Linked DNA regions of Bombyx mori. The protein of the gene in region 2 binds, or shares a complex with, the protein of the main gene of each other region. Links are inferred from orthologs where the notes say so. Each region holds a gene or a part of one and is shown on either strand. Other genes may lie near its edges.

Region 1 (4,076 bases), on a different chromosome or scaffold from region 2:
ATTAGATTAGAATAGTGTACATAGACAAAATTGAAGAAAAAAAGGCATGCATGTATTTTGTCCACAGTAAAATTTCAGTGTGCATTTCACAACAATTCAAAACAATTCTTCCTGTTTTTGCCACGTAACCGTCATGCGCTCCGATTCGAAGGGTGGGACATGCGCTATACATTTGAGGCTTCGACCTCATGCCTTAGGACGGGTGGCGACCTTCAAGTCCTAATTTGTCGACGTCCAGATAACCAGGAGACAGAGTTCGTTCTGGCCCCAACGGCCATCCGTTCTACGAGCAATGTGTCCTGCCCACTGCCACTTCAATTTCGCAATCCTTTGGCCTATGTCGGTTACCATGGTTTTCCAGCAAATCTCCTCATTTCTGATTTGATCCGGGGAAATTCCGAGCATAGAGCCCTCTCCATTGCTCTTTGGGTGACCTTGAGCCTTCTCATAGGGCCTATTGTGAGCGACCACGTCTCAGTGCCGCGATCCTTAATTAATATACTTTCTAGGTTCAACAAATTAGTGAAGCAACTAATGCAACTTCTAGTTTCGCTACGAGATCGTCCGTGCGGCGTTTACTTAGCGAGACTTCTGATGAGACTCGACTACAACCGGTGGCTCAGTAGAGAGGCGCAGTTAACGCAATCTGTAACGAACATGTTAAGATACTGATGAGGGTTTACTCACCACTCTCAACATCGGAACGGTAAGTTTAGTTGGATTCGTTTGCAGTTTTTCGTTAACTCTTTACCTCTTAGAGCTTTTTTTAAACTCATTCGTGCTTCACTTGTTTTAGCAGGAGTTAAGAAAACTTAGTGTTTTATTATAAAGAAAACAAGGTGAGGTTAATACAGTATCTATTTCGCATGTCACGGTGAGCATTTCTTTATAAGTGAGAAATCGGTTTACCTATCAAACGAAAGAGTAGAGGTTTTTTTACATAAGGGTTTATCTCCAATATTCCACAAAGATGACTCCCGGTAGCGTATTCCCATTTCCGTGTTCACTATGAGACAGTACTGCCATGAAAGACGCACGGGTTTATCGCGCTAACCGCCCTGACAAATCCGTGTTCAATTTAAAGCGCCCGTCCTGAAGGATTCGTAATTACGTGTTTAGGTATGGTAATGGTAAACAGTCGACGTCGCTCTAAACACGTCATTACGGATCCTCCCGACCCATTAACGGTGCTTTTAGGTACATACTACAAGCACCGGTCAACGTCCTCGCCGAACCCGTCGCTTGCGACGAACGGAGAGCCCTTCGTTGCAAGTACGAGTAAATTAACCCATAGACACATGCCACTGAGTTTCTCGCCGGATCTTCTCAGTGAGTCGCGTTTCCGATCCGGTAGTAGATTCTGCGAGGCACTGCTCTTGCTACCACTTCGATAAAGCGGCACGACACGAGAACCCTCTCATCGTGGCCGCCGGTAACTACATTCCCGATCCTGCGGAGAGAATGGAAAGCAGTCAACGTCGCCCCAAGCACGTCATCTCGGATCCTCCCGATCCACTAACGGTGCTTTTAGGTACCTCAAGCACCGGTCATCGTTCTTGTGGAACCCGTCGCTTGCGAAGAAGGGCTCGACGAGTAAATTAACCCTCAGACACAGCCCACCGAGTTTCTCGCCGGATCTTCTCGTGGGTCGAATGGGTCGCGTTTCCGATCCGGTGGTAGATTGAGCGAAGCACGGCTCTTGCTAGGGTTCGTGTTAGCAACGTCGTCAGGTTTGAGCCCCGTGAGCTCACCTACTAGTTAAGGTTACGCTGGAATAGCCTCTCAAGGCTACCAGCTTACGTAGGAAAAAAAAAAACTCTTGCTAGGGCCAGTGTTAGCAACACTCCGGTTTGAGCACCGTGAGCTCACCTACGCGTCAAGGAGAAGCTGAAATAGCCTCTCAAGGCTATCAGCATAGTTAGAAGAAAAAAAAAACAATTGCGCACGGGTTTACAAGGAGTATGCGCATTGATTAAGCGAGACAAATCCGTGTTTGTTTGAAGGAATTTTAATTAATGGGCAAGTTTGGTATTGTATTGTAGGCAATCAACGTAAGTAGTAACATAAACAAAAATAAAGAAGTCATTTTATAAAATATTTTTTTTTAGCAGGAGGCTCATTATCAATATTACGAGTAGATACAATATTATGAACACCTTTTCTTTTCAGTTTCTGACTTGGCTGGTCGTTCTCGAATCGAATTTTTCCACTGCATAGCAGATCTCTTTCTTTGCGGCGAGCGATCGATTTTGGTTGTACATGAATTTTTCGAGATTTTCATCGAAAAAATTTTCAACTACAAATGACATAATACTCGATGGAGTAAGAATAAGTAAGAGTTGTAAGAATGTTTGTATATGCAGCATTTGAATCATTTTCCAAGATATCAGTAATTCTTTGCCACTGAACTTTAATATTTTGAACAGCACAGTCAAAGTTTTCATTGTTGATAGTTATACCGTTTTCAGCTCGATTTATTGGAAGTTCAAAAGTATCTGGTATAGCAACATTTGGTGTAATGGAGCTATCTGGATCTGAGTCAGAGTTGGCTGTATTCATTATTTGTGCTTGGTTCAGCCGTAATATCTTTAAGGAATGACAGTGAAAACTGGTCACCCAGAGCTGATTTCGCAAATTGTTGACGATCATAGTCATTTAAATGTAGCGATGCGGTACCTAAGTACAGTTTCATGTTTCCTTTCTACAGCGCAAATATGTTTAAAAAATCGACCCCCAGCACCATACAGACAGATCAGTTTTCTCTTTCACAAAGTAGGTATTGTCATACGCGAACTTCATGGCTTAGTCCCGTGTCGCCTTGAACACGTGTTTAGAAGAGCATTTGGCATTGCAAACCTGTGCGCGATTGGAGGAGGCGCACTCTGAATTTAACAAGAGTTTGTAAAGGCTGTTAGCGCGACAAATCAGTGCGTGTTTATGGCAGTACTGCGTCATAGTGAACACGGAAATGGAAACACGCCTCCCGGTAGTAGGAGGGTTAAATTTTCATGTGATACGGTTTTTGGAGAATCCGTTATTAACAAGCTTTATGATATTTATTAGATTGTAGAAATTCGAATGATTTTATAGAGTATTATGCTTTTGACTCATTAACATTTTGATATCTGAATTAATTTCTAAAGAGAATGAACCCATATTTTTAAGTTTCAACTTAAAATAATTGCGTAAGTATCAGATGTTTAGTTTTATAATGGATTGAATTCTTACACCTTATTGTCACCATGTGTATTTATGTAATGAATGCCAAATGTATTATAAATTAATGATTTTAAAATAAAACTTGTAACATACATGATTCTGATTTCATTTTATTTAATTTATAAAAAACAGATTGATGTTTAATGGGACTCCATGAATGCTTTAATCAGTATGCATTTAGTCATGTGACATGAGCATGGTTGTGGGTGATCGACAGCTTCTGGATCCAGTAATGTCATCTGTAAATTGTATCTGAAAGAAAAAATGTAAATTAATAGTATCACCATGATTTGATTCTTTTTTTTTAAATTTTTTTTTATTGCCTTTGTAGGCAGACGAGCATACGGCCCACCTGATGGTGAGTGGTTACCGTCGCCCATGGACTTTAGCAATGCCAAGGTCAGAGCCAAGCCGCTGCCTACCGCTTAATACTCTCCACAAGCCTCGTTTGAAGAAGGACATGTCATAGCGCTCGGGAAACACCGTGGAGGGGAGCTCATTCCATAGCCGGATGGTACGTGGCAAAAAGATCTCTGGAAACGCACTGTGGATGACCGCAGTGGCTCCAGGTAGTATGGATGAACTCTACTCCGGTGGCGGGCGGTGCGATGGTAAAAAAAATCTTATTTAAAATTACGCTATTACATTTAGTTTGTTTTAATTTATTTTCAATATCGTTTTTATAAGTCATAATGAAAACAATTTGCATTTTTTCATCACAAAAGTTCTCAAAATATTTCTGTAGTAAAAACTAAACCTTTCTGGTGTGGATATCGTTAATGTGTGGAATACACTTGATGAAACTCGCGCGCCACTTGTGTTTATTTTTTATTTCTAAGATGGGTGGGCGAAATCAC
Region 2 (3,830 bases):
GCGGGAACGCGAGGAGTGAAGTTGTGTGATTTGTTTTATTTTGTCTATTTAGTGTTTCTTCAGGTTTAAATGTGTAATAACGGTGGTTTATTAACTGTTTAATATCTGTGAAAGTGCACAAATGTGGGAAAATGAAACAAAGCTGCTGGACATAACTTCTCGGGTTCCTCCAAAAAGTCCACTAAAAAAATCTCAGTAAACGACTGGCACCATTTTACTGAGATTATATTTCATCCCATATCATCTCATTTCATTTAATTTTATCCCAGTTGATTAATGTCTCAAATTAATCATCTTCATTTCATTTCATTCCATATTATCATTTTTCATAAAATTAAGAATATTAATTAAAATAAGACATGACTTAAAAGTATTAGTTACCAGGTCATAAAATCCCTTAAAAAAATACTTTTTCTATTTAATTTACTAGGAATTATAAACAGGAATTGTAAGTTTAACTAAACTAAGTAACTAAGCATGGCGTTGCTCTGAAAACAAAGATTTTATTATTTTAATAACTTAAAAAGTACACAACAGTAACAGTAACAGTACAATCACATTGCAAACCTATAATAGGTATCTCACGTGAAAACGAAGAAACGACATTTAAAATCCACCACTCTTAATTCCTTATAATAATTATGCAATTTAATACCAACAAAGTAACAATATGTCCGAACATGGCAGACGTCAACCCTACAATATGCAATGCATGTCACCATTATCGACAGCGCCATCTATATGATTACATAGGAGCTATAGAATGCTGTACAAAAGTACTATAAAAAATATAGTATCTTTACATATAGATAGTATATACTTTTTTTATTGTGATAGTTAAGTAAATCGAAGACAGCATGAGAGACTAACGGTAGGCAGCGGCTTGGCTCTACCCTTGGCATTGCTGAAGTCCATGGGCGACGGTAATCACTCACCATCAGGTGGACCGTACGCTAGTCTGCCTACAAGGGCAAAAAAAAAGTTTAAAAAAATAAGACTACAAGACCGTGAGATAGGTGAGGACCAAAAGTCATAGATTAGGTTTGGGGCCACTCGTGAGGAGCACTTGTGAATATCACGTAGCCTGTTTGTTACTGTGCTTGTAGAGTAACATACAGCGACCGAAACGTCGCAGTATACCTCAAGAGACGAGGTCCGAAGTATTAATAATTTTATTAAAATAAAATATCTTCTGAAACCGGAGCCCATTATTGCTTAGCAACCTTAACAAAATGGAAGGTAATTTTGTAAGAATAACTTTGAGGTTTGATTTCATAAAAATATGTTGTTAATTTATTGTGCAATTAATTTTGTCCTACATTTATGCGGCATGTATGATTCATGGCACAATCTCTGCTATGTATACCAGTAGCCACGAGTTGATAGACAATTGATTTTTGAATTGTTCATTTTTTTTGTTTTAGTCAATATATCTTTGTAAAACTTACAGACTATTGTTACAGTTTTATGATAGTATAGATCTAAAACGGAATACAAACTTGCAAAGTAGTCTCTCGACGTGCTTACAATAGAAGAGATGTCTGAATATCATCTGATAGCAAGCGATGGCCTTGTGGTTGAGCACTAAGGACACCGGCCACTTCACCTCCATGCCGAACGAGAATGTCTCTATGCCAGTCAACGGAGGACAATCTTTGTTGTGTTTGTATTCTGAAATATTAAACAATTTAGATAAATATTCAAGATAGAAAAAATAATATTATTCGATATATATATAAAACAAACATATTCGCCTATTTTCTCTTTATAGCGACAATAAAACTAATATTTTTATACCGTACAATGAACATCTGCTGGAACTTTTGATGTTACGACTTTTTTCAAACATAATATTCATATTAATTATCTTAAGAATAAACAATTTAAATGAATCTAGTAGATACATTTTGTATGTTGTGCAATTAAATGAATAAAGTAAATTCTTCAATAAATTTTTTTATTATTTTTAATAGTAGCAGTATTTCAACAGTGATTTTCATTTTTATATTATATTCGGGTTTACAACAAAAAACGTTTTGTATGTTTAGTCCTCTATGCGTTTCCAAGCTATACATACGATTGTGGTGAAACTTAGTAGTCGTTTTTGGCCCTTTAGGGATGACTTATATCATAGAACCATGTACGTGCGACGGCTAACGCGCGAATAATGCAAACAATTTGATGTTTCTCATACAAGTATTTATATATTTATTTTATTTATCTCTATTTTTAAATATTATAGGTACCTTCCTCCTCTTCTGTTTCTATGGATAGGATTTTGAACATTTGGAACTGCAGATCGTACGGAAGGAGTTCAACTCTCATGTCTTCATTATATGGATCATGACTGGCAGCGGAGAGCCTGTAGAGAATACAGTTTCATTAACCTAGGCTGTTTATTCTAACTATACATTATGTACAGTTCTCAAAAAAGAAGACCGCGGGAATAATATAATAGAATATTCTGATGCGATAATCTTAAAAAATCTTAATTGCAAAATTTAGCAAAAAAGAAAAAAACACTGTTTGGATTGTTGCACAATTAATACAATTATTTAATTCGGAGCTAATGTCTTACAGATACAAAAGTTAACAAAGCAAATTTGGAACGAACCGGGTAACAAGGAAACGTAAAATTAAACAGGCGCTTTTTTTTTAGTAAAGTTTGCAAAATAGGAAAATAAAAAAATAAAACTGTACCTAAGACAAAGTCCAAGAAGTGACTCCAACTTGGAGGGTATAATGTCGTCTATCTTCTTCGATAACTCCTGATCGGTCGCATCCATAAATTGCACAATGAAATCGCCCTGGCTCATTAGGAAGTAGTTTTTGACAGACTTCAATCGACCCATCAGATCGTATTCTTTGAGTAGTAGCTCCAGCAATGATTTACTTGCGAAAGCGTAAGCCTTCTGTATTATAGCACCGTAGTTTTGTTCTCTTAGTGAGTATTTTATTTCGTCTGTGTTCGTCTTGCTTATTGATTTTCCTGAAACGTAACAAAATTTACCAACGATGTGCGATCGACTCCAACACTTCACTGTTAAAAGATCAATAAGTATGTACACTAAAAGCTCTTTATTCGCGGGGTATGTGTTGCGTAAATATGCCGCGAAAACAGAAACTGTGAATATGGAATGGTAATTTACATATATGGGATAATATGTTCCTAGGTGACAAAATAAAAATATACTTTAGGCATAGTTGTAATAAAGACTATGTTACTGTTTTTTTTTGTCCATTTGACAACGCTTTAACAAAGGATATTCGATTGAATACCTACATATTGGATTGCTTTTTGAAGTGAAACTTCTTAAGGCGTTCTTTCCTTTCAATAAACTTTTTATTATGTACCAAAAATACAAAACTTTTTAGAGCATAGATTATAACCAGACTTATTTAGTTTAATTATTTATTGAAATTTCATCTTATGACGATCGCATAGATATCTATAAAATAGTAGAACCAATTGTGATAAGCTGAAATAATAGATAGCTGACCTTATTTTGTCTTTGATGTCATTGAACTTCATTATCTATAAATTGGGATTTAATTAAAGATTGATATCTCAGGTGTAACATTATCAAAGGTTATCTGTCACATGATCAAATAAAAGCATTTAACCTTTTTTTATCAAAATTTAAAACTTACCACACTGACTGATAACGTTCAAATATTTTCCAGTTCGAAGAATAATGTCAGTGAACTTATCGAGAAATTTCGGTACTCTGTCGCTTTGTATACAATATCTCTTCTCCCAATAATCAGCAGAATAATCTACAGGCAGCTCTTCTTTATTAATTAGCTCGTTATCTTCTATCATAAACTCC

What was found.
Region 1: gamma-tubulin complex component 2 (region 2) and gamma-tubulin complex component 4 share a complex: the UniProt entries of both Homo sapiens proteins name them as parts of the gamma-tubulin ring complex. The link is inferred for Bombyx mori from reciprocal best matches to the Homo sapiens genes TUBGCP2 and TUBGCP4.

Annotation. Positions count from the first base shown.
Region 1 is NC_085125.1:5,636,563-5,640,638, forward strand, and holds the end of gamma-tubulin complex component 4, read left to right. Parts: intron 1-509; coding exon 510-672; 3' UTR 673-706; intron 707-796; exon of another isoform or gene 797-2,078; intron 2,079-2,169; 3' UTR 2,170-3,313; downstream 3,314-4,076. Other genes in the region: uncharacterized protein LOC101745013, read right to left, coding at 3,360-3,471. UniProt on the Homo sapiens protein: Component of the gamma-tubulin ring complex (gTuRC) which mediates microtubule nucleation.
Region 2 is NC_085119.1:10,560,593-10,564,422, reverse strand, and holds part of gamma-tubulin complex component 2, read right to left. Parts: intron 3,830-3,830; coding exon 3,652-3,829; intron 2,990-3,651; coding exon 2,701-2,989; intron 2,363-2,700; coding exon 2,247-2,362; intron 1,672-2,246; coding exon 1,500-1,671; intron 1-1,499. UniProt on the Homo sapiens protein: Component of the gamma-tubulin ring complex (gTuRC) which mediates microtubule nucleation.